3 linked regions of the Saccharomyces cerevisiae S288C genome follow. The protein of the gene in region 3 binds, or shares a complex with, the protein of the main gene of each other region. Each region holds a gene or a part of one and is shown on either strand. Other genes may lie near its edges. The genes, in order: TIM54, TIM18 and TIM22. A codon is read from its position in the direction of its gene.

Region 1 (6,355 bases), on a different chromosome or scaffold from region 3:
CAATGTACACATTTTATTATATTTACAGATTTTATATATATGTATATGTGTGCATATATAAAAACTATTTCAACATGAGTAAAGGGAAATCTTCGAAAAGGGTTTGGTATATGTCAGACATAACGTCGATCGTGCATGATGATAAAACATAATATATATCCAATTAAATATCTGATTCTGGCTCTTCCTTGGGTGGTTTTTCGTAAACAAACATATGCTTCGTGATTCTAGGATCACATACTAATTCTTGGGTCCATTCGCTGTTCTTTTCTTTACCCTGTTTGACCCAGTTCTGTGGCCAATCTTTTTCTTCGTCCTTCGCCAAATCAATATCCTTTGCAATATCAAACGGTCTTATACGGGTTTGTCGAACACAGTTAACTACACTTGAACACACGTCCTCTACGTAGAAACGCTTCTGGTAAAAACGATGTATTCTCCTTGGAATGGTAGTAAAACCTATCAAGTTAGGTATTGGAATGACCAATAACGGCTGATTAATCAGAAGCGGGATATTTGTATTGGGGTTTCTTATGAATTCGCCATTTGGAGTTTGTAATTCCGAAGCGATTTGCAGGTCAGGGTATTGGTCTGAAGAAATAAATGGCTTCAAAAATTTTTGCGAATCCTCTGAGCTGTTTTCTTCATCAACCTTTAGATCATCTTGTACTTTGGCCTCTTCCAAAGCAGTCTCTTTCTCGGCATCCACCAGTTCCGTAGCACCGGATTCACTTACCTTTGATTCTATTTGATTTGCTTCTACAACCCCAGTCATCTTAGGCTCAGTGGATCCTGTTTTTTCGGTCTTCTCGATGGGTCCAAGCAAGCCTTCGTGAATACCGGCAATGTACTCCTTATAGGCGCCTCTACCTAAACAAATAACACCACCAGATAATATAGGGTCCTTTGTCAGGGCGTCTTCACTTATTATATGCTTCGGTTTTGGCATTGTATAGAAGATACCTATAACGTTTCTCCAGTCGAAGTTCTCCTTGAACTTTTTACCGATTTCTGGATCAAACGAGTCATCTTCTTCAGCAGGATCTTGAATGATTTTATTGAACGGTAGTAGTGATGAAATTTTACTGGTTGAAGAACCACTTGGTTTTGCTACCGTTTGGTTAGGCTCTTTAACTGGCTGCCCATCCGTCGATGCCAATATTTCCTTTCTCAATTCTCTGATTCTGTTGGCTACATTAGTTCTAATAATCCCTTGCCTATCCTCTTGAACTAATTCATAGTCCAACCCTGCATAATACAGTACAGGCTTAACATATCGTCTCCAAACTTTCAACGAACTCTCCAGATAATCATTTGGAGGAGGTGCAATAAAAACAGTGATCTTTCGTGGCACTTTGTCTACCTCCATGGACTCCTCTGCCAAAGGCTTCACCAAGTCTGTTGCATGGCTCAGAATCTGACGTTGCTTGTATTTGTCATAGGCTATGCCACCGATGGATACTGTTAACACAGACCAAAAGATCATCCAGTTTCGAGAAGGCAGCCTCAAGGCGGGTATACCAAGGGCTTTTAAAGCCGGATTGGTATAGCCAGGCTTCCTAATAGGCTTAGCAATAGGCTTTCCTGATTCAGAAGACATGGTCTATTGAGCTTCTTTTGAGAACAATGGACTTTAAAGCTATGATGTCTTTGCCATCAGTACTATTTTTTCCAGCCTTCGGGCTTAGAAAGACAGCTCCTAAAAATTTGGATTTTTCACCACATTATCTATACAGATCGTTTAAACTAGATACATGACTTACGTTTCTATTATTTAGCACAATCCTCGTGAGCGTGACCTTCGTCGCTCCAATTCAAATTGAAACGGCCCTCTGGAACGACGTACTTCTCTATTTTATCAACAACTTCCTGCGGAGTGGAGGCAACTTGAATGATTTCACCATTCTTCACACTGATGAACCGTTCTTGAATAGAGTGTTTGAGGAACTCCAATAATTTGTCATAGAACCCATCGATATTGAACAAGATAATTGGTTTATTATGAATCCCCAGTTGCGACCACGTGATACATTCCATGATTTCTTCAAAAGTCCCGTATCCACCAGGCATAGCAACAAACGCGTCACTCAAATTTGCCATCATTCTTTTTCTCGTATGCATATCTGGTACAATCGTTGTTTCCCCATACTCTTCAGAAATAGGAGTGGCGCCCTTATGATTTTCTACAGACTCCAACAATGCTTTATTAACATCTTCTTTATCCTCGTCTGTCCTTTCCTTAGACACAAGTGCATTTGGAATGATACCGTGAACCTGTCCGCTTAAATCAGGTCCCATCGTAGACCTTGCTATCTTGCCCATCAAACCAGTAGTGCCTCCACCGTATACCAATTTCCATCCCAGCTTATGGAAAAGGGCTCCTAATTCTTCTGCACTTTCTGAGTATAGCGCCTTAGCGCCAAATGAAGACCCGCAGTAAACACACACAGACTTGCCGCCTACTTGGCCACCACGGCTGCTATTACCTCCATTTTTTTCCATTGTCATCGCCGTTTCTTAGTACTGGATTGCCTGCGATTTACTCTAGGGATCTTCCTATTCAACTGTTGGAAATAATTCTCCTTCCTTAAACGCCCAAAACATGATTATATATCACTGCAGACGGAGTAGTTGACAGCAGTCATCTACCCTAAAGGTCATGATGAAACGTGCTTGGCAATATAAGATGCAACTGCAGTCACTGTGAATATAGGCCAGCGGCGAGACGGAAGCATTACACTTTTACTTTTTATGTGTTACGGTTTTTTAAATAGAAGAAGGATAGGAACTAATGGATGCGTTGACTCCCAGGGACTCCCCCAAGCGCGATGACTCGATGGCCACGAGTGCGGCCACTGCTGCTTCTGCCAAGCCTGATGCTCTGACGATAGGTAAAGAAGGCATTGTCCACGGGCACATCCATAACTACAACAACCTGACCTATATCCATGGTCACCTTCACCACAGCGCGCCTGTGAACGACAGTAGTGCTTCGGCAACACCTGCAGCCGCAGCTGTTGCTGATGCCGCTACTTCCGCATTTGCATCTGGAGCTAGCCATGATATGGGTGGTGATTGCCACGTCAATGAGAAATGCAAGGAGTACACCGACTGCCAACATTTCGAGTTCTTGAATTATCACAATAATCCGTCATTAACAAAATATAATGATACTGCAACGTATAATTCTAATAATCATTCTTTTGCAAACAATTTCCATTCGGTAGCTTCTGATCCGACAAGTCCCCAACAGAATTCTAAAAGCGACCTACCACGTAGAAAAGATTCTTGGTTTAACGACGATCTGATACTGCTGCCCTCTTCCAAGAAAAATAAACCGAACCCACCACCTGGATCCGATGATTGTTATTGTACGCCCAAGATTTTGGAAATATGTTGTGACGAAACTCATCCCAAAAGTGAGGCTAATATAAAACAAGGTGAATCTGATCAACCGACAAAGAAAGACATATCTGAGAACGGCAATGATGTTGCAATATTCACAGATGTAAAGAACGATCACTTGATGCCAAATTTTAACCTTCATGATCAGTACTGTAATAGTACCAATCACGACTCTCACAATCACAATAATACTGTACCAGATAGCTTTTCTCAGCTGATGTCTCACTTATCGGAGATTGATTGCGATTTGACCTGTGACACCCCATGCACGGCTAGCACGAGCGCGACTAGTGGTCACAAGTTTGTTCAAGATCATCAATCATCAAATAATGATGACGTTTTCCATAAATACTGCAAATTTTGTGAGGAGAGCACTGATAATCAACCTTGTTCTAAGCATATGCATTTAGAGTCAAAGCCACCTCAACTACCACCCAAATGTTCATCTTTACGAAAACCTACAAACACTTTGCAAGGTACAAATCATGCTTATCACGAACATATCTTAAATACTGATATGGATTTGAAGATTTTGGAAGATTTATGCAATATTTCTTCTTTGTATGAAGTACCGTTTGGAAAACACATTAACCACCACGACCACAATAATGCCGGTAACGGCTGCGATGGTTCGAGCACAGGAAATAATGAAAACGGTAACCAAACAATGAATCTTCTATTATCAAGCATTAATAGATGCAACCCTAAAAATAATCTTAATGGAAGCAATAACAATACGGCTGGAGCAACTTCAACTGATCATCAACACCATCACCATAGAATACAGTTTCATTCTCACAAACCAAATAGAAACAATATTGTGAACAATTCAGGGATTAGCGCGGCGAACACAACAGCCGATCTAACTAACAACGATTTAAATGACTTAATTTCAAGAGAGTATAGTTATGAAAGATTTAGAAATCAAAGTGAGCCCCCTTCGCTACCCAAAGTCACTCATCAGAATCAGAAAAATCGTAGATCTTGGCCTACAAAAGATCTAGAATCTACTGATTTCAGCTCTTTGGAAGACTCATTACCTTCTAGCATCTCTCCTCCTATACAGACAACAAGCACTATAAATTTCAACTGGTGTTTTAAAGAAGAGAAAAACAATGACTTAAAATGCAAATGGAAAGAATGTCCTGAGTCTTGTAGCTCACTATTTGACCTACAAAGACATCTTTTGAAGGATCATGTCTCTCAAGATTTCAAACACCCTATGGAACCATTAGCTTGTAATTGGGAGGACTGTGATTTCCTTGGAGATGATACATGTTCCATAGTGAACCATATTAATTGTCAACATGGTATCAATTTTGATATTCAATTTGCCAACCCAGACTCATTTTTGCCTGGTAGTATATCAAAGGAAAAACATCACTTACTACATTGCCCCAACCCACAAACACACGAAGTTTCTAAAGCAGATGGAGCACCTGATATGACGTCTGCAAATGATGTTTCCAATATACCGCCAATCAAGCAGCCGGAACAGGTGATTTGCCAATGGGATGGTTGCAATAAGTCATTTTCCAGTGCTCAGGAATTAAACGACCATTTAGAAGCAGTACATTTAACCCGGGGTAAGTCTGAATACCAATGCTTGTGGCATGACTGCCATCGTACGTTCCCCCAAAGACAAAAATTAATCCGTCATTTAAAAGTGCATTCGAAATACAAACCTTATAAGTGCAAGACATGTAAAAGGTGTTTTTCAAGCGAAGAAACTTTAGTTCAGCATACCAGGACACACTCTGGCGAAAAACCTTACAAATGTCACATTTGTAATAAAAAATTCGCGATTTCAAGTTCTTTGAAGATTCATATAAGAACCCATACTGGTGAAAAACCTTTACAATGCAAGATTTGTGGTAAGAGATTCAACGAATCGTCAAATTTGAGCAAACATATTAAGACCCATCAGAAAAAATACAAGTGCTCTGACTGTTCCAAAAGCTTTGACGATTTGGGAAAATTGAACTCACAGAAAGTGAAATGCGCATTGGAAAGAAAACCATATTTATAAATGTGATCATCATGGTCCAACGTAAGAAGGGCGGTTTTCAGGATCACATAAATGCATAATTAGAAACATTTCATATTTTACCTAGACTACTTTTTATTTATAATTTTTCGCAAACTCTTTTTTGTAAGCTTTTACAGTACACTTTTTTTACGTAATAACGTATTTCAAGCTTTATTTTTTGTATACGTTTCAGAAAAGGGGGTGGGGGGGAAGGACATTGTATATATAGATCCTATGAGTGACAACTAGGTAACCGAAGAAACACTATTAGATATATAGTTTGAGGGATAGCATAAGTAGAACTTAGAAATGAGTTTAGTACCATATGAAGAAGGTTCGCTGATTTTAGATGATCCTAATTCTAAATCAGTGGTGGTTGTTAATCCAACCTCAGGAACTTTATCATTTTTCCAACAGGACAACAGTAATAATGACTCTGAACTAAATGAAGACCAGACTGCATCTTTATCAGCACTGGACTTTCCTTCAGGGATTCATCAATACAAAAGCCCTATTGCTTCCTATGTGTGCCCGCAATGTGGTACGGAAATTAACCCTGATATTATAAACAGAAGACAACTTCATCGTCGAGCCTCTGCTGGAGTAGAATCAGAAAGCAGTAGGCTCAGTATTCCAGAGAACACTGTGCCACTTGGATTTGAATTTGCCAATTCAAGCTTTTCAAGAAGATATTTTCAGTCATTGGAAAGAAATCATCGGCACTACGCCCTACAAAACGATAGTAACAATAAGCAGGGACAGTTCAGCAAAAACAAATACTTTATTCCAGATGATTTGTTTATCCCCGGATACTTTCGTAAATTTTTCAAAATATTGTCTTTGCTGGGAAATGGTGCAAGAGGTTCTGTTTACAAAGTTGTACACACAATTGGTAATACTGAATTAGGTGTTTTTGCACTA
Region 2 (5,691 bases), on a different chromosome or scaffold from region 3:
AAGCATTCTTAATAATGTACATTATTCTATCATGATCGTTTTATGGTTTTTTTCGTTTATTTTATCATTTTTTTTTTTTTTTAGCTTTTTTTCCTCTATAGAAAGTGAAGTACACACGTATATATTATGATTCAGGATCTTTATTTGGTCTCAATTTTAATATTTTTTTGCAAGGACTCGATTAATCTATCTTTTTCTATCCACCTATTTTCAAGCCACTTTTCTAAACTCTCATCATTGTATGCGAGTAATGGTTGAATTTGATGCTTTTTTACATTTACCATCACAACAATGGGGTCCTTATCCTTTATGTTGTTTTCAGACTCCATTTCTGGTTGAATCATCTCAAAGATTGTCGGAGATATTTGCTCTAATTGATAACCTTTATGAAGTCTCAAATCTCCGTTGGTATGATCATGCCCACTATCAGTATATTTGACTCGGTAATAAATTATGGTGACATCATATATGTATGGATTGATTCGTACCACCTTGGGCTTGCCGCTGCTGATTTCTTCCTTTTTTGTAAGTAAGTATGAATTATCTACGATCATGGGCGGCGTCGTCTTATCGGATACCTTGGAAGACTCCATTTTCATGCTCTTGTGAACTAATTTGTCAAGTTCTCTGTGAAACAGGTATCGGGCCTCTTTGATTATATTGTTACGGTTTTTCTTTCTTTTGATGTTTTTAATTGATGAAAAAGCAGCCATCAAAGTGGTAAAGTTTTTAAATCTTGGGTATAATAAATTATAGAAGTTTATAACAAAGGGAAAATCTTGGTGTAATTTTCTTTGAATAATTGATAGTTCCAAACTCATGATATTGACTTCGGGAAAAATAGTAATAGCTTGATTGTTTTGTCTTTCTAAAATATCTCTTAACTCATTCGATGAGAGTGCGAGTGTTTCATCTTTGAAGAATATGTTCTTTAGTAGATCCAATCGAGGAAAGTTAAACATTTTTCCCCAACCAAGAAATTTTAACTGAGGCCATTCAGCTAGATCTTCCCCCTTCCTCAGCTTTTGTAGAAATTCCCATTTAGTATAAAACTTGGTGGGACAACTTTTGAGAAAAAGGTAATTAATCAATGTGTAGTCATTCACTGATCGATGATTACATATCATTAATGTGGTTTGGAATTTGCTATCTTTAAAAAAGTTTAGGTCATCACTTCCCTCGGTTATGAAAATTTGGACGTTTTTTTTTTTTTCGAAGGTCATTTCAACTAAATGTAGCTGAAACCAAATTTCAATCGCCTCCAGCACCTTGTCTAAAGTTGGTATTATTTTCAGTTTACTATATGTCAGTGCCCTCGAGAGCAGCCGAATTTTGTACTCACCTATTATGGGCACATGCGACCAAAATCTGTCATATAGTAAATGCAGTCTAAGACAGAAGGAATTCGTGTTAATGAACTGTAGGAATTGATTGATTGCAGTAAAAAAAGAATGAAGGTAAAAATAGCCAAAAAGAATAAGCAACCTTGGGGTCAGACTCAACCAATCAGAAATATCTAACTGTTTGAACTGGACCCTAGAACCGACCATATATGTTTCGAAGAAATCAACAAAACCCATCTTAAAGTTATACCTTTCGTTTAGTTTTCTGTGTGGAAAAGAGAAATTTTATTTGATTAAGATTAACAATGAATCTATTATGGTGCATATCTTGCCCTGTTAACTTTCAATTTTTCATTTTGTGTCGCTACATGCCTTGTTGACACTCGGTTTTTTTGAAAAACAAACCATTCTCGCAAAAGATCGGATAAAAATGAAAACTTCCAGACAGTGGAATGCACACATTAATTAACGGTGATGCGAGGTGCAACAACTGAGTAATTTAATACCTTTGGTAATGCTATTGTTTCCTGGCTTGAAGCCTGTTCTTAATGCTTCCACTGTCATTGTAAATCCTGTACGAGCTGTTTTTCCAGGATTAGTACTTTCAACCAAAAGATCCTTTTATAGCATTAATCGTTTAAATGCTGAAAATAAAATAAACGATATTGCAAATACGTCAAAAGAGGCATCCTCTTCAGTGCAGATGTTTAAGCCCCCAGAGTTCTCTCAATTTAAGGACTCTTATCAAAAAGACTATGAGAGAATAGCAAAATATACTTTGATTCCATTAACAATGGTACCTTTTTATGCCTCCTTTACCGGCGGGGTTATAAATCCTTTACTCGATGCGTCTTTATCGTCCATTTTTTTGATATATTTACAGTATGGCTTCACAAGTTGTATTATTGACTATATACCGAAGGAAAAGTATCCAAGATGGCATAAGCTCGCCCTTTATTGCCTCTATGGAGGATCCATGTTGTCCCTGTACGGTATCTACGAATTGGAAACGAAAAATAATGGTTTTGTTGACCTGGTAAAGAAACTTTGGAATGAAAATGATGACCATTTGTATATATTTGGAAGAAACTGACTCACCCATACTTTTTCTTTTTTTTTGCATTTCTAAGATTTCATTTTTAGAGTCAGATTCCCCATGAACTTAACTTAGGAGAGATTTTATAAAAAGACAAATAAGCAATAAAATATATCCTTCTTCTCGAAATCCAGATATATATGTATATATCGATCTGCTTGGATTGGTACAAGACGATCAATTCTTGTCGAGTGAAACGCCTAGGGATACAGAAAGGAAAAGTAGGAATTCGTGATTGCTAGTATTCTCATTCTGTCTAAAGTGCCTTTTTTATTATTATCTGTATGCTTTTTGTTTCTTTAATGATGAGGAACGAATTTTTATACTACAAAAAAATAATGTTTACAATTTTTATCAATGTATTGAAACATTTTAATATTTGTTAGGATTCGCCTTTATTTCACAATCAAAAGGAAACACATAAAAAAAGTGTCATGCTCTACGTGAATAAAGAATTAGTGAAATAATAATAAGGCAATCAGAATACAACTATCGCACTATCTGCGAAACTTTTTACTATATGGGTATAAATGCTAAACGGAAAACTTGTCCATAAAACTATGATTCTTATAATAAACGATGATACACGTTCATTCATTTTTTATCGACGCTCAAATATAGGGTGGAACTGTTTAGTCAGCACCCCATGTATATATATAAAAGAGACTTCAGTTTCTGCCCTTTTTTCCTGTAGGAGTGACCGCTCTACTCACCGCTCTTCTATTTTTCATAGTATTAACAAGTTCTTTTCTGTCATGTAAAATTCGATGAACGTAATCATGTTGGCCTTTCGCGATCAATATTCTCAATATAATATTCATTACTTCTGCATCACGTTCCAGTTGTTCCTTAGGCTCTTTTACAATGTTAGCTACTAGCGACTTTTTTCGAGATATTGTTCCAGCGGATTTATTCGTAAAAGTAATCGGAGTTTTCTTCAGATAAAACCATCTCAAATACTCTTCATATAGGGGAATCAATCGCTGAACTTCATCCTTCAATTCGGAGACACTTTTATCATAAAAAGCTGGGATCAGCAATATATTTTGGTAATACTCATTTTTCAATTCTGCAAGAGGGGGACCTTCTCCTTTATTATGAAAAAAATCTACACACAGCGCATCAAGCCATTTGAATACAGCCTCGATTTCCGCTTGAGTCAAAGGACGACCGTATCCTGATACCGTTTTTGTGGTTGAAAGAGTATTTTCCCACAAAGATTTCTTTGCTGAACGCAATATATTAACTTTAGCGCTATTCAATGCAGGTAGAAGAAGTAAATCAGCGTTCTCTAAAACGAGGTTCCACGCTCTTAGCATTACCATAAACAACAATCTCTGTGAAAGTTCTGATGCCAGAATGTTCAAATTTGCGTTTAAATAGTCAAATAGTGGTAAAATTGCGTCATATACTGCTTCGTCAGACGCAAGTGCAGAACCATGGTGACCACACACTGTTTTTAATGTGGTTCTCGAGAAGGCAAATGCAATAAAATCAGAAAATTTGTTGACTATTAGGTTTATTGCACGATCTCTTGACCTGCTAAAAGATCTATATATTCTTCCCATAGAAGAAACGGCATCTATTTTCTCACTTTCCAGGGATATTTGGCAATATAAAGTTCCCTGCGGATTCAATGTGAGCGAAAAATCGATAGGAAACCCATCATCCTTGAGCTTTCTCGGAGTGAATTTCATATTGGCTTTTCCACATAGATCATCTTCCGCTAAATTCTTTAATCTGCTGTGTGGGTGGTGCCATATAGTAAACATAATATCGTTCGACTTTCCGAATGGAGACTCAAACACAAACTCTTCGTCCCATTTGGGAGTAATCGATCTTGCAACAATCTTAGTAGTACCTATTTCCCGTTGTAAAGTGATGTTTCTCATGGAAACGTAGGTGTTTGAAAGCCCCGTTTTGCTGAAGCCTTTAATATTTTCAGCACCGATAATTCGAAGGGTATAAACTTGCTTCATATTCTGGTCATCGAATGACTTCCCATTATCCTCTAAATTATGGGAGGAGTGGTACTGTGCAATAACAGAGGATATTTTTGATGGATCTGCTTTTTCTTCGAAGCTCTCTAACAGAAAAAGTGTTTTATCAAGATCATTTAGCAGTACGCACGTACGCTTCTTGAACTGATATGGAGCAGGAGCTACCATCTTCGGAGTTGATTTAACTACATTTTTCAAATCTTCAAACAGCCTACTACTTCTTGATTTTTCATGATTTACGTTAGCGTTATTCAGGCTAAGTGAAGATCGAGTGTCTGAGCTTTCTAAAGAGTAGGATGGTTCATCACCCTCCTGTAAATCTCTCTGGATCAATTCCATTAGTTGAGCTGAGTATGAAAGCATACCATCTGAAAACGCCTTTAATATTACCGTGATCATTTGTGCCAGTTGAAATTCATTTTGCCAACCAAATTTCTCCAACATGCTAGTTGATTCATTTATCATTTTGAATATGTCCAAAACTGATCTACTGAAATGGTCCTGGTCATTTACGGGTTGCCAATTCTCGCTTTCTAGTGAAGATTTAATAACTTTTTGAACATTACGGCTCACATCATCACATAATCGAGTCAAATATTTGATGAAATAATTTTCAAGGTTAAAGAAAAATTTCCCTTTTGGCTTTACCTGCAGGTAAATCTGTCTCAGTTCTTTCAGTACATCATACATATCTAGCGCATCTATTGGACCCAACTTTTGTCCAGTCATTTTCATGGTACTCTTTTCAGCGGTTTTTATTAGATTTAAAGAATCCGAACCGTATACTTCACATAGAAATACTGCGCATTGTCTAGGCAGAGATATTTCGTCCAATAAAGGTTTATTGTAACGTTTTTGAATCGCTTTTATGGCTTCTATAATTGTTTCTACGAGATTCTGAACGTTTTGAATTTCTATTGCGTTAGCCTTTAGCATATCCTGCAGAAGGGAGACAAAATAATCCTCTGATGCTTTAAAAAGAGTCTTCTTAAATAATTTGATCCAGTATTTCTTTACAGCTACGGACTGCGTTTCATAGAATTCCATTACTGGATCCCCAACAATGTTTGAATAATAAAATGACAAAACTGGAGAAAATTTTGGCTTTGTACCTGAAAATATCGCAGTTAAAAGGTTATTTATTGTCCTCATAGACTGATCAGTCGTATGAAAAAGGTTTGCAGCCCATAAATAGCGATCCTGAGCATTCCAAGCGGATGGATCCAGATTATCCTCTGAACATAAATATTTA
Region 3 (5,879 bases):
TTCAAAGACTGGAAAAAGTGGAGCCTTTTAAGAATGACCAAGAGTTCGAAGCTTACTTGAATAAATTCATTCCAAATGATTCACCTGATTTGTTGATCCTGAAAACACTGAACATCTTCAACAAGTCTATTTTGAAGACAAATTTCTTTATTACAAGAAAAGTAGCAATATCATTCAGATTAGATCCTTCCCTGGTGATGACAAAATTCGAATATCCAGAGACACCCTATGGTATATTTTTTGTCGTTGGTAATACTTTCAAAGGGTTCCATATCAGGTTCAGAGATATCGCAAGGGGCGGTATTCGTATAGTCTGTTCCAGGAATCAGGATATTTATGATTTGAATTCCAAGAACGTTATTGATGAGAACTATCAATTGGCCTCTACTCAGCAACGTAAAAATAAGGATATTCCAGAGGGTGGCTCTAAAGGTGTCATCTTATTGAACCCAGGATTGGTAGAACATGACCAGACATTTGTCGCCTTTTCCCAATATGTGGATGCAATGATTGACATTCTAATCAACGATCCATTAAAGGAAAACTATGTCAACCTTTTACCAAAGGAGGAAATATTATTTTTTGGCCCAGATGAAGGAACTGCTGGTTTCGTGGATTGGGCAACTAACCATGCTCGTGTGAGGAACTGCCCATGGTGGAAATCATTTTTGACTGGAAAATCCCCATCTTTGGGTGGTATTCCCCATGACGAATATGGTATGACTTCTCTGGGTGTTCGTGCTTATGTTAATAAAATTTACGAAACTTTAAACTTGACAAATTCTACTGTTTACAAATTCCAAACTGGTGGTCCGGATGGTGATTTGGGATCCAATGAAATTCTTTTATCTTCGCCAAACGAATGTTATTTGGCAATTCTGGACGGTTCAGGTGTCCTGTGTGATCCTAAAGGTTTAGATAAAGATGAATTATGCCGCTTGGCACATGAAAGGAAAATGATTTCCGATTTCGACACTTCCAAATTATCAAACAACGGATTTTTTGTTTCTGTGGATGCAATGGATATCATGCTACCAAATGGTACAATTGTAGCTAACGGCACAACCTTCAGAAACACCTTTCATACTCAAATTTTCAAATTTGTGGATCATGTCGACATTTTTGTTCCATGCGGTGGTAGACCAAACTCAATTACTCTAAATAATCTACATTATTTTGTTGACGAAAAGACTGGGAAATGTAAAATTCCATATATTGTGGAGGGTGCCAATCTATTTATAACGCAACCTGCTAAAAATGCTTTGGAGGAACATGGCTGTATTCTGTTCAAAGATGCTTCTGCAAACAAAGGTGGTGTCACATCTTCATCAATGGAAGTGTTGGCCTCACTAGCGCTTAACGATAACGACTTCGTGCACAAATTTATTGGAGATGTTAGTGGTGAGAGGTCTGCGTTGTACAAGTCGTACGTTGTAGAAGTGCAGTCAAGAATTCAGAAAAATGCTGAATTAGAGTTTGGTCAGTTATGGAATTTGAATCAACTAAATGGAACCCACATTTCAGAAATTTCAAACCAATTGTCCTTCACTATAAACAAATTGAACGACGATCTAGTTGCTTCTCAAGAGTTGTGGCTCAATGATCTAAAATTAAGAAACTACCTATTGTTGGATAAAATAATTCCAAAAATTCTGATTGATGTTGCTGGGCCTCAGTCCGTATTGGAAAACATTCCAGAGAGCTATTTGAAAGTTCTTCTGTCGAGTTACTTATCAAGCACTTTTGTTTACCAGAACGGTATCGATGTTAACATTGGAAAATTCTTGGAATTTATTGGTGGGTTAAAAAGAGAAGCGGAGGCAAGTGCTTGAGCTTCAATAAAATTGTTTTGTATAAATTAGTTCTGCCGTCAGAAAAGAAAATTAAACATATGTGTATGTTCTTCTCAGCGTTTTATTGTGTACTAAGTAAAGTTGTTTATATGTCCATTATTTTTAATCTAAAAAAAGCATTTGATATTTTTTCCTTCGAGTTATCCATTATACTAGGCAGTTCTCCTCAGGGAGCCATGCTTCAGCTGAAACTTTAGGAAAGGCGCGCTACGCAGGAAGCGCTCTTATTAAAGGGTTTTTCAAATAAACTAAAAATGAATAACAACGATCGAAAATCAATAAAAACTGCAGGAGGCAGCATGTCACTTTCAAATAAGACTGTAAAGGAATTACGACAACTACTAAAGGAAAGGTACACCGTGGAAGATGAACTAACTGAATCTATAGCGCTATCAAGTATGCGATTCAAGCCGTCGCAAGAACCTGAATTTCATGCGCTAAGCCAATCTTCCTTGCTCAAAACTAAACTAAAACAACAAAGTAGTACAGATATTCCGAGTTACACCCACGTACTTATATCAAAATTATCATGTGAAAAGATCACCCATTATGCAGTTCGTGGAGGAAATATTGAAATCATGGGCATATTAATGGGGTTCACATTAAAAGATAATATTGTTGTAATGGATTGTTTCAATCTTCCCGTAGTAGGGACAGAAACTCGCGTAAATGCACAATTGGAGTCATACGAATATATGGTTCAATATATCGACGAGATGTATAATCATAATGACGGTGGTGATGGGCGAGATTACAAGGGCGCTAAACTGAATGTTGTTGGCTGGTTCCATTCACATCCTGGTTACGACTGTTGGTTAAGTAATATAGATATCCAAACCCAGGATTTGAACCAGAGATTCCAAGATCCATATGTCGCAATTGTGGTCGATCCCTTGAAAAGTCTGGAAGATAAAATTTTAAGAATGGGTGCATTTAGGACAATAGAAAGTAAAAGTGATGATAATAGTGCCACTTCATACTATGAACTAGAAACAATCATATTTGATTCAGAATTGAACCGAGCGCTATTTGAAACAAAGTTAAACTTACATTGCGTAATAGAGGATGATGAGTCAGAACAAATATCATTAAATAGATTGATCGATTCAATGAAGCAGTATAGCTATTTGATGGATTCCAAAAATGTTAGAACAAGGATTAAGTTGGCTACTACCAGTGAACGTGTTAGCAACGAAAATAAAAAAAACATTGACTATCAAAACCGTTCAACAAGGTCTCAGTTCTGCCTCAATACGCAAAGGGGGGATAGCACTGAAACAAGCTCCTTTGGAAGCATGTTTTCAGGTGATAATACTAGTGACGTAGATATGGAAGATAGAAACCTTACCGAGTTCGACAGTACTGACACTAGTCTGTGCATAAACGGCGAACCGAGCATTCATGTAAATCGCGTGGAAAGAAGCAGCAGGTCTACCGACAATTTTCACAATTCTAAAAAACGCATGAACAGCAATCAGGAAAGATGTCATGATGAGGGCAATGATATGTTACAGAGAAATGTCTTGGAGACAGATTATGCAAGAGCAAAAAATCGAATACTTGCGTCAAAGATAAAACAATATGAGCGGTTACGTTTTTACAAGGACACCTTTACATTATGAATTCCTAACGTTGCTCCAATGACGCTGCAATAGCTTATGTTTATCTGCAACGTACTTTTAATAGTTATTCCTTCTTGAATCTCTATAAGTATATCTATACCGGGTGACAATTTGATATTTTCGTACGCCGTTATGTGTTGGTTTTTGGTCTTACTGATAAAATGGCATCGAGCTTACAACTGAAGAGAAAGACGATGCATCAGTCAACTTAATTCTCTAATAAAACAGACAGCATTTCCTCGGATCCATTTCGTACATATAAAATCCGAAGCTTTTCAGGACAAAATACTATTTTTCTGTCACTACTAAACGGGATAGTACTAAACGGGATAGTAGAGATAGCTGCCAAATAAGATCAAGAAATTGTGATTTTAAATACTTTATACGAAGATGGTGTACACAGGATTTGGTTTGGAGCAGATAAGTCCAGCTCAAAAGAAACCTTATAATGAACTAACTCCGGAAGAACAGGGTGAACGGGGTGCTGAAATGATCATGAACTTCATGACTTCCTGTCCTGGAAAATCAGTTGTGAGTGGTGTAACAGGGTTTGCACTGGGTGGTGTTTTAGGCCTGTTCATGGCGTCAATGGCATATGATACACCTCTTCATACACCTACACCTGCAAATACAGCAGCAACTGCAACTGCGGGAAATATAGGTGTGGGTGGAATATCAAGAACAGTTCAGCAAATATCTGATTTACCTTTCCGGCAGCAAATGAAACTTCAATTTACCGATATGGGTAAAAAATCCTACTCTAGTGCTAAGAATTTTGGCTACATTGGTATGATATATGCTGGGGTGGAGTGTGTCATAGAGTCACTTAGAGCTAAAAATGATATTTACAACGGAGTAACCGCAGGGTTTTTTACCGGTGCTGGGCTGGCATACAAAGCTGGACCACAAGCTGCCTTAATGGGTGGTGCCGGGTTTGCTGCCTTTTCAGCTGCAATTGATTTGTATATGAAAAGTGAGGATGGTAGACCACCTCAAAACGATTTTAAAGAATGAATAGCCAATTTCGACGAACGATGAATGTTTTATATTTGTAAATATCACCTATCTTAATATTCTGCACGACCGTCCCAGAATTTAAGAACGCTTAATAATTTCCAGAACTACTGTTACTAGTAAAGCAAAAAAATTCCCTGGGAGAATTAATCATGCTTTAACTAGACTCTGGGCCGATCATTTTTGCTGGAAGAAAATGGGAAGTGTAAAAACGATACCCTTTCCAATTTTCCCATGTCGATGAATTCGAGGCGTTAGAGACTGTCGCTAAACTCAAGTGATAGTCACACTTTAATATTAATAAATTGGAAGATTTCAGTCACATATTTGACAGAGGAAAATATAAAAATAAGAAGTAATAAAAGTAAATCATTATATATAAAAAAAATTAAGCATTATTCACACCTGATAAGGATTTTCTAAAAGACGACGCCATTATTAGAACAGGAGCAATTCAAATCGTTAAGCAAAGAAAAGAAAAAGAAAAAGAAAAAGTATGTGAAGGGTATAGACGAACAAAAAGGAAATCATTGAATTTATGGCATTTGATTGACGTTCCTGTTTGGTTCTGCAGTGCTACCACTCATAGCGCCAGAGTGAGCTCCTTCTGTGACCTTTTCTTGATAAGACCGATCACCTGACTCATCCGTAGAGTAAGCGTGCTGGTCCACTGCACTGTTAGCGACATTCGCAGAACCAGGATTACGATCGTTGGTGGTGTAACGCGTCTTAGGGTCCGCTGTTGTTGTGGTGTAACGTGTGTTGGTGGTGGTAGTATGGTACTGCCCATTGGGGTCATTAGTTGCATAGCGTGCGTCGCCATTCGGTTCAGATGTGTAAGCAGCATTATCACCTGCACCTGCTTCGACATCACCGGTCCTAACATTGGTGTTATCGTAAGCAGCTGTTTCTTCAAAAGGCTCGCTTAAAGCTAGTCCGCTCCACCTATGGAGCTTTGTACCCATAGAAGCGCCGCTTCTCCACATTCCTTGGGTTTGATAACGCTTCCTGATAGGTGTTAAGACATTAATTCCCAGTAATATCACACTGATCAAAAACAGTACAAAGCAAAGGCCAGAAAAGGCGATTGCCGCCTGAGAAGAATTACATGCTCTTCTATGACTGTCAGCAGTATATTGGCCACTGTACGGATTATAGTATAATCCGTCTGCATTAGTGTTGCTACAGCTACGTTCACCTTGAGCTTTGGCAAGAACAACGAAAGCTGCTAGCCATAGCATACAAACGATCAATTCGGCACAGAAGTACATTCCTATGTAGATCAATGTGGGTAGGGCCAGACACAAAATACCTAAGGCAATCAGATAAAACACACTAATGACACCTGTTGCCAATGTGAAGTTGGTTTTCTTATTACCTCTATTTCCAT

What was found.
Region 1: TIM22 (region 3) and TIM54 share a complex: the UniProt entries of both Saccharomyces cerevisiae proteins name them as parts of the TIM22 complex.
Region 2: the proteins of TIM22 (region 3) and TIM18 are in contact, whole or in part, in a cryo-EM structure (PDB 6LO8), measured with the Saccharomyces cerevisiae proteins. Residues at the interface, in NP_010064.1 of Saccharomyces cerevisiae: Ser145 (codon at 4,298), Leu146 (codon at 4,301), Arg147 (codon at 4,304), Tyr168 (codon at 4,367), Lys169 (codon at 4,370), Ala170 (codon at 4,373), Gly171 (codon at 4,376), Pro172 (codon at 4,379), Ala175 (codon at 4,388); in NP_014940.4 of Saccharomyces cerevisiae: Ser76 (codon at 2,083), Tyr77 (codon at 2,086), Asp80 (codon at 2,095), Tyr81 (codon at 2,098), Ile84 (codon at 2,107), Leu109 (codon at 2,182), Tyr124 (codon at 2,227), Tyr162 (codon at 2,341), Glu165 (codon at 2,350), Thr166 (codon at 2,353).

What each region holds. Positions count from the first base shown.
Region 1 is NC_001142.9:329,510-335,864, reverse strand, and holds TIM54 (Tim22-complex subunit TIM54), read right to left. Parts: upstream 1,601-6,355; coding exon 164-1,600; downstream 1-163. Other genes in the region: LOG1 (Log1p), read right to left, coding at 1,771-2,508; ZAP1 (Zap1p), read left to right, coding at 2,792-5,434; protein kinase IKS1, read left to right, coding at 5,744-6,355. UniProt on the Saccharomyces cerevisiae protein: Essential component of the TIM22 complex, a complex that mediates the import and insertion of multi-pass transmembrane proteins into the mitochondrial inner membrane.
Region 2 is NC_001147.6:871,488-877,178, reverse strand, and holds TIM18 (Tim18p), read left to right. Parts: upstream 1-1,857; coding exon 1,858-2,436; downstream 2,437-5,691. Other genes in the region: MUM3 (Mum3p), read right to left, coding at 141-1,580; YOR296W (uncharacterized protein), read right to left, coding at 3,108-5,691. UniProt on the Saccharomyces cerevisiae protein: Component of the TIM22 complex, a complex that mediates the import and insertion of multi-pass transmembrane proteins into the mitochondrial inner membrane.
Region 3 is NC_001136.10:66,593-72,471, reverse strand, and holds TIM22 (translocation channel protein TIM22), read left to right. Parts: upstream 1-3,865; coding exon 3,866-4,489; downstream 4,490-5,879. Other genes in the region: GDH2 (glutamate dehydrogenase (NAD(+))), read left to right, coding at 1-1,832; COP9 signalosome catalytic subunit RRI1, read left to right, coding at 2,153-3,475; YDL218W (uncharacterized protein), read right to left, coding at 5,026-5,879. UniProt on the Saccharomyces cerevisiae protein: Essential core component of the TIM22 complex, a complex that mediates the import and insertion of multi-pass transmembrane proteins, such as mitochondrial carrier family members, into the mitochondrial inner membrane.